Struthio camelus: one gene and its partner. The protein of the gene in region 2 purifies or fractionates together with the protein of the main gene of each other region. This does not show direct contact. Links are inferred from orthologs where the notes say so. Each region holds a gene or a part of one and is shown on either strand. Other genes may lie near its edges. The genes, in order: MAGI1 and RAPGEF2.

Region 1 (3,901 bases), on a different chromosome or scaffold from region 2:
TGACAGTTGCCATGCCTATAATGAGATTTTTAATCAACATAATGTATTTTAATTAAAACTCTCTCCTTTCCTACACATATGATCCTGATCCACGAGGGAGTTCCCCACTCCGTGCAGAACACCATGCAGATGCTACGCTATCATTAGGAGAGGCACAAGGAATGGCTTTCTAAACCACAAAAATATTCAGTGATTAAAAAAAAAATCCTATTATATATTCCACTCTAATAAAGCATTTAAAAAAAAAAAAAAAAGGAAAATATGATCTCATAATAGCCAGGGGCTTGGTTCTCACTCCGGGAGGAGGAAGGTCCAAGGTTCAAGTTCCTGCCCTGGCTCCAGGCAGGGCTTTGAACCTTTTTCTCCCAAGTCCCAGGTGAACCCAGCTACTATGAGAAAAAAACAGCTCTCTGACTCATTTTGACCAGACACTGCATCCTAGAGCCGAGACATATTCACCTCTAAATTCTGTCATTTCTGGTATAGTCCCATGACGAGTTTCCATTTGGACTAAGTAAAGTTTTCAACAAAAAAAAAAGTTTAATCACAAATTGCTCGTCTCTTACCCACTTTCCTTTGCCCACAACACTGATCCCATTGCATCAACAGAAGCTGCACGCTAACCCTTCTGCTAAAACAATCAGCATGTAAAAATCTGCATAATTTCCTCATACTTCTCTTTATTTTACTCTCTCGCTCCCCTCCCGGGCAATGAAAATCAGCAAATCAGTTTCACTCCCCGGTTTCCAGTGTAGCAGAGAAAATGCAGCAGGGAAAATAGGCATTTGCTTAAAGAAAACAGTTTTCATTGGCGTCCAGCACTGCTTGTTGGAATATTTCTGCCAACTTAGGGTTTCAACACTTAACACTAACAGTAATTTTGATATATAAGATTTGGGGCAATTCTGAGCTGCTATCATCCCTGGAAGAAGAAAGCAGAGGGCAGAGCAGGATTACAGGGCACAAGTGCCATGCCGAGCAGGACACACCATCGCGGTGATTTACTCCAACGGTGGGAGTTTGAGCAACGGCCGTGAAACAAGTGCATCCAGAGCAGCTCGTAAATCAGGCTGGCGGACAAGGCTTCAGAGGACCCTCCTGCCAACCTACCATAACAACAAGGGCCTATCAACAAAGTTAAAAGATCTTTTAGCTGCTGCATCTCCAGCAACTGACCAGGTTGAAAACATGCCCTGTAGTTTGGGATGTGTATGTGTCTGGATAATAATAAACTCTCTCCTAAAGAACCTCCCAAACGCTCCTAGGAAAACTTCGCTTCCTTCCTGCAGTTATCGATGACCCTGGGGTGCGCTGCTCCGCCACCCGCACCTACAGGTGTTGCAGCACATTCCTGTTTATCCTGCCCAGCCAAATAACCTCAGCAGCTGTCGCAACAGTAACAGTTTCCTGGCACTAAATGCAAGTCCTGCCCTGGAAACTACAAACCTATCAGCCAGGCCTCTTATGCTAACCTGTTAAACAACTGCTGCCTGTACACAGGCATGAAGTGGGACTTAAAAAAAAAAAAAAAAAAACTCACATGGGAAGGCTCTTCCTATCCTTTTCTACAGCTAAATCCGAAAGCAATCCACCTCCTCCCGCCGCCGCTCTGCGGGGTGAGAGCCCAGATGTGTCCTCACCTACGGAAGAGCCAGCCCAAGCCAACTTTCAGCCCGACTTCAGAGAAGCATCCCACGGGCACTGGTGGCCGCTCTGCCCGTCCCCCCGCGGCGATGCGGCCGCCAGCCCGCAACCGCGCTCCACGTGAGCCAACACACGTCGCATGCAGCCGCTGCCGGGGGAGCAGCATCCTCCCGCACAGCCCTGCGGGTCCGGGCCGGGCACGGACGTGCCTCGCTCGCCCCACGGAGCGAGCCCCCGGCCTCGGCCGCTTCCGCTCGGCATCGCAGGACCGCGGGCTGGAGGCTCCCGCGCGCTTTGGAGAAAGTCTCACGGCATTGCTCGCTGCAGGCCAGGAAACTGCAGGCTGATTCGGTACGATAACGTGACTGTATGCAAGTACATGTGTGTATATATATATATATTTATATACACACACACACACTATATATGTGCGTGCATATATACACACACACACACCCCCTCGCACACTACCGCAGTGTGCACGTACCCAGACGCTTGCACACCACCGACACAAGCAGCACCCAGGGGCGCTCCCCTTTCGCGGTCGCCCTAATGCTCGCCCCTCGCCTCGGTACCCAAAACTTCCTGGCCAAGAACAAAGTTGGCCGCGGCGGAGCGCGGGCCGAGTCGAGCCGAGCCGAGCCGCGGCAGCCCCCCCTTCCCCCCCCCCCCGCCGCCCGGTGCCCCCCGGTGCCCCCCTCGCACCTTGTCTGACGGCTTTGACGGCGATGGGGTCCTTGCAGCTGCGGATCACTTCCAGCACGTCGTAGCGCGGCAGCCCCGAGACGCGGACCCCCTGCACCTCCAGCAGCAGCTCGCCCTCGCTCAGCGCCGCCTCGCCGCCCCCCGCCGCCACCGCGCCCGCGTAGGGGAACTCGCCGTGCTCCGCGCCGCCGAGCAGGGCGAAGCCCAGCTGCCCGCCGGGCCCGCGGCTCAGCGAGCACTGCCGCACCCGGCTGGCCCAGTGGTTCTTCTTCTGGACGACTCGCGACATGCTGAGCGCGGCCCTCCGCCGGCCCCGGCGCACGGTAAGCAGGTGCGCAGCGGGGCGCCCAGCCGCTGGCTCATAGACCGCGCCGTGCCGCGCCGTGCCCCGCCGCCGCTCAAGCCATCACCGCCCGCGCCGCGCCCCGCTCCGGCCGCGCGCGGCCCGCATGGCTCCGCGCCCGCGGAGGGCGCGCGCCTGCCTTCGCCTGCCCCCTAGTCCCTTTTCCTTTTTTTTTTTTTTCCCCTCGTGTTAAAAAAAAAGAAAAAAAAACTAACTCAATAAATCCGCCCTCCGCTGGCTCCTCCTACCCCTCGCTTTTGTTTTGTTTGCTGTTGTCCCCCCCTCGCCACCACCCTTGCCCGCCTCCTCTGCGCGGGCGCTGCGCGGCGCCTTTAAGGCGATACAAAGACTCCGGTTGTTTTGTTACATTTCGCTTTACCCCGCTGCACCGCGCTCGGGGCCGCCGGCGCAGGCGCCTTCCGCACACTCCTCCCCGGCCCGCCCCGGCCCCGGCCCCGGCCCCGGCCCCGGCCCCGGCCGCGAGGGCCGTAGTTCAGGTTGTCTCACTCTTCCCGGTTTTAAAGGCCCTGCTTGCACTCGCAGACAACTTTTTTCTTTTCTTTTTTTTTCCTCCTCCCCAAAAAGGAGCGGCGCCAAGCGCGCACCTTGGATTGATTCTGTTTTTAAAATGTCAGCAGGAACAATTCCTTGCTAAGGACGGGCTCAGTTGCGAGTATGCTTCCCCCCTCGCACGCCCCCTGCTTCACTGAGAGTTCCTGAAAGCCCATTGAGAAGTTCAGCCTCTGTAATCTCACGGAGCAGCTCATGTTTCGGGGAAGATTGGCAAGGGGGAGGAGAGGGCTCCTTCACTCTCCTGGGAGCGTTTCCAGAGCTGGCCAAGTTGCAAACCTCTAAAAATCACTGCTCACCTGCACTTGCAGTAGGGGGTCGTTAGAGGATGGGACAAAATGAGGCAGAAGTCCTGAGGAAAACCTTACACAAGTCTATAATTAAAAGTGGTATCAAAGCGCTTGTGCAAGGCTGAATTAAAGCCAACACAGATCTTTAGTTCTCCACTTTTCAATTTCTGAGGTGCATGCGTTTTAATAATATCCTTACTTATTTCCCCAGTATAATTATGTCGAACTGGGACAGACCTATACTGAGGTCCTTGCGGTGGAGAAGACATGCATCAATTTATTTGCCCTTGGCCACAACTCTTCAAAGTTGCCTAGAACTTTAATGCAAAACTCAAACAGAAAATAAGTA
Region 2 (3,901 bases):
CTTTCAACAATTTTTATCACACTTAGCTGTTATCAAAACTGCGCAAATAAGAGCTTGCTATCCTACAGTCATTTCACTGCTCCCAGCTGAGCCTGCAGTGAAGTCATTTTGCTAAATTTGCACCATGACAATCTAGGGCAAAATAGTAATGTCAAACACATATTTACACCCTCATGAGATGGGAGAAGCTGAGCCACAGAACAGTTTGTTAAAGCAAATAAGCTCTCTCCTACTCTTTCCTGCCCTGACATGAATATGATAAATATATTTCCTCTTTCCTCAACCTAAAGATACCTAGTGATTTCTCAAAAAACAAAAATGAAAAGCTACCTTTACAAGATAACATGGCTTAAGTACAAGGAAAGGAAAACAGAGATAGTTAAGAGTTACTTTAAGGGAGGAGGAAAAAAAAGTCTTTGTGTCTTTATATAAAGAAAGGTTTGGAAAATTGTCCTTGATAGCTGCATTAGAAAGATACCATGCCCAACCACTTTTTTTTTTTTTTTTTCAAATTCCAACACTGTCGTAAGATAAAACTGAAATAATTCCCAGAAAGGAAAACAAAGATTAATAAAAACCCCTCCTCAACCCGCTCCATTCAGATGAGACACTCATGAAAACGGAAAGGGAATTTTCCTTCTTTAGGCCCTGCTCTCATCAGGAGCAACAGGAGGGCACATCTGACCACCAGTTTCAAGTATTTCCAGTGCTAATAACACATTATGTTTCCCACAAATTCGGTCTTATTTGTGGACTGTTCTGGTCGGTGTCAGCTTCATGGCTTTGAGGGTGGGTTTCTTTTCCCGAGGAGACGGCCACAGCAGGCTCTCAGTCTGCTGATTCTTGAAGTTTTACAGCATTAATGCAGCCCTGGCGTTCCCGATTTAGCTCCCTGCTCCATGCCCTTCACACTGGCTTTATCCCTGCATTCAAGCTAATTTCTCCACCGCCTCACTTCTCTCCCTCTCCCCCCCCCCCCCCAACTGGCAAGGACACAACAAAGTTTGCCAGCGCGCTCGGCCTGCCCCCGGGGAAGTTTTGCCTCCCCAGGCCCAGTCTGACGGCCCAGGCGCTACCCGAGCGCCTGGTTTCTGAGCAATCACCAGTCTCCTCCGGTCAGACAACTGCCCACCTCCCCAGGTCGGACACCGCCGCCGCAGTCCCCTCGCGGGAACGAACGCCTCTGCCAGCAAAAGGAGTCTCGCTGCAAGTTCGCAAGCGGCGTCTTTCCCAAGAGAGAGCAGTCAGGCTCCTCTGCCTTTCACAACATACCAAAAGGCTGGTTCTAACACTGAAGGCAAACAGACATTTGGAAAGCAAAGGTCAGACAAGGACAGAGAAACAGCTTCAGCACCGCAAAAATACATTCCAGAATAACTTTAAAAAAGAAAAAAAAGGGGGGTGGGTGGGGAGGAAAATATGGACAAAACACATACTAAATGTAATGCCTATGCAGCCAGTATATTTTTTTCCATAGGCGCTTTTATTTTCTCACACATATTCCATGAGCATCTGGATAAAAATAACTTTACCACAATGACGTATCTACAGTAGGAGGAATGACTTATGGGTGCAGACTGAAAGTCAAGGTTTTCTCTTTGCCCCCAATTTGAAAACGTCACCAGCCAATCAGAAGCTGGGCAAAATAATCAGTAATAACATCTCTTCCTAAAAATCAGAACACACCAAGTTCTCAGGGAGGAGAACAAGCCTTGGGAAAACAGGACAGATGGTGCTACAACTCCAAGCGAAGTAACTCCTTGTATCATTAGCTATCGAACTGCAGCTTGATGTGGGGATCAGCGTAAAGCTTATTAGTCTTTAGACAGCTGGCAGCAGTCGCCACTGCAGTAACCGCTCTGGAGCAGAAGGCACTCGTTCACTTTAGCTGTTTTTCAGGTCATGTTAAGTCAAAACGCGTCTACGCGTCCGCTTGCGCCCCAGCCCCTCATTTAACCTCTTTTAAGGCTCTGCAAGCGCGGTTAAGCTTAGGGCAGCAAACACCTTCCCCAGCTCCTTCGCGTATCCCGAGAGGGCGGGCGGCAGGGGCAGCAGCGCAGCCCCACGCCGGTGCCGCTGCGCGGGGGTCGCGCCCTGCCCCGCCGAGCGGCCGCCGCCCCGCGCGCCCGCAACGCTGCCGAGCGCAGCGGCGCCCCGGCTGCACAGCGCGCCGCGCAGAAAACTCGGAGAACACAACGTGCGCGCACCTATTTTCTGTTTTGTTTTACCCGGAAGCAATGTTCAACAGCAGACCCGCGACCGTCGTCCCCCGCCCCCCCCCGGCCCCACAAACACGCTCCCCCCTCCGCCCCAGGTCGGGGGCGCGGAGGAAAGCGCCCCCCTTCCCTCCCCGCCGGCTCGTGTCTCGGGGGAGGACGAGCCCCGCGGCCGGCACCGGCCCCGCGGCGCCCCCTCGGCGGCGGGGGCCGGGGGCGCCTACCTGGGGGCTCCTCTCCGCCGGGTTCTTCATCACCGCCTGGCGGAAGCTGTTATCCACGTAGGACGCCATCGCGCCCCGCCCGGTGCCCGCCGCCCGCCGCCGCTGCCCGGCGGGGCGGGAGGGCCGGCCGCGGCCTGGCGCTGCTGCTCCCGCTGCTGCTCCCGCTGCTGCCGCCGCCGCCGGGGCGCTGCGCTGCGCTCCGCTCCGCGCGGGGACACCGAGGGCGGCGCGGCGCCGCGGGCTCCGCAGCGCCGCCGCCCGGAGGAGGCCTCAGCGGCGGCCGAGCCCCAGCCCCAACCCCAGCCCCGCCGGCAGCGGCGACAACGGCGCGGGGGCGCCCGCCGCGGGGGGCGCCTGGCGGCGGCAGCGGCGGCGGCGGCGGCTCCGCGCTCCCGCTCTAGCCGGCTCTGCGCCTCCCGCCGTCCCGCTCCGCCGCATCCCCCCCGGCGGCGCCGCTGCCGCCGCCGCCGCCTCCCATCCGGGGCTGCTGTGGGGGCTCCGCGCCCGCCTCGGCCACGGGGAAGTTGCTGGCGCGGCGCGGCGGGGCGGGGCGGCGGCGGCGGCGGGGCGGGCCGGGGGCGGGCCGGGGGACCGCGGCGGGCCGCCCCCCCCTCCCCGCCCCAGCCCGGGGCTCCCCGCCGCCGCCGCCGCCGCCGCCCTGCGCGGCCGGGGCTGCCCCCCCCCCCCCCCCCCCCGCCGACAACGGGCTTTGTCCGGAGTTTTTGCTCTGCGTTTGCTTCCGAAATAGGCACTCGGCCGCGCTTGCATGTCTGGTTTGGTTTGCTTTTTTCCTTTCTTTTGGTTTTTTTTTTTTCCTCCCCCCTCTCTCCCAGGCTTTAGTTGCAGTTGATATAATAGAAAATTGTCACTTTTCCTTTATCCCCGCTGGAAAGCTGCCCTCTGAACAAGGGGGGGGGGGGGGGTAGCACCTGGATGGTGTTTGACGCGCGCCTGCTCGGCTGGGCGAGGCGGAGGCGGAGGGTGTACCTGCCGCCCCGGCTTGGCTCCTGCTGCCTCCCTTTGATTCGCCGTATCTGCTCTTTCCTTTGGGACAAGAAACTGAGGATAGTAGTTGCTGTTTGCACCGTTGATGCGATCCTGTTTAGGTACGCCTATAAAATCCCTCCTCCGCAGACGAGGCAGCCTTCCTTCACTCAGGGCACCCAGTCTTTTTTGTTTTTGTTTGTTTTTTAATTTTTCTCTCAGCTAGCACTCTGCTACCCAGCATTTTTCCGTGCATTTGCCTTAGGAAGAGTACCGACACAGTGATCCCAGGAGCTTTTTGCCTCCCCCCACCCCCCGCCCCAGCCTGTTTTCTGGCTGCTTTTTCAGGCATGCTCCGAGAGCTTCTGGGTGGTTTTCCGCGTTTCAGCCCAGACAGGCTCCCGCCAGCCCGTTGTCAGGGCTGCCTGGCTGGATGCAGCCCCCAGAGAAGCCCTTTTGCCCGCCTGCCGGGCACCT

Evidence for each region.
Region 1: the proteins of RAPGEF2 (region 2) and MAGI1 purify together in Homo sapiens (co-immunoprecipitation; 3 studies listed by BioGRID and IntAct, with this or other methods). This does not show direct contact. The link is inferred for Struthio camelus from reciprocal best matches to the Homo sapiens genes RAPGEF2 and MAGI1.

Annotation. Positions count from the first base shown.
Region 1 is NC_090955.1:13,480,446-13,484,346, forward strand, and holds the start of MAGI1 (membrane-associated guanylate kinase, WW and PDZ domain-containing protein 1), read right to left. Parts: upstream 2,933-3,901; 5' UTR 2,639-2,932; coding exon 2,350-2,638; intron 1-2,349. UniProt on the Homo sapiens protein: Plays a role in coupling actin fibers to cell junctions in endothelial cells, via its interaction with AMOTL2 and CDH5. May regulate acid-induced ASIC3 currents by modulating its expression at the cell surface.
Region 2 is NC_090945.1:41,241,661-41,245,561, reverse strand, and holds the start of RAPGEF2 (rap guanine nucleotide exchange factor 2), read right to left. Parts: upstream 2,581-3,901; 5' UTR 2,510-2,580; coding exon 2,441-2,509; intron 1-2,440. UniProt on the Homo sapiens protein: Functions as a guanine nucleotide exchange factor (GEF), which activates Rap and Ras family of small GTPases by exchanging bound GDP for free GTP in a cAMP-dependent manner.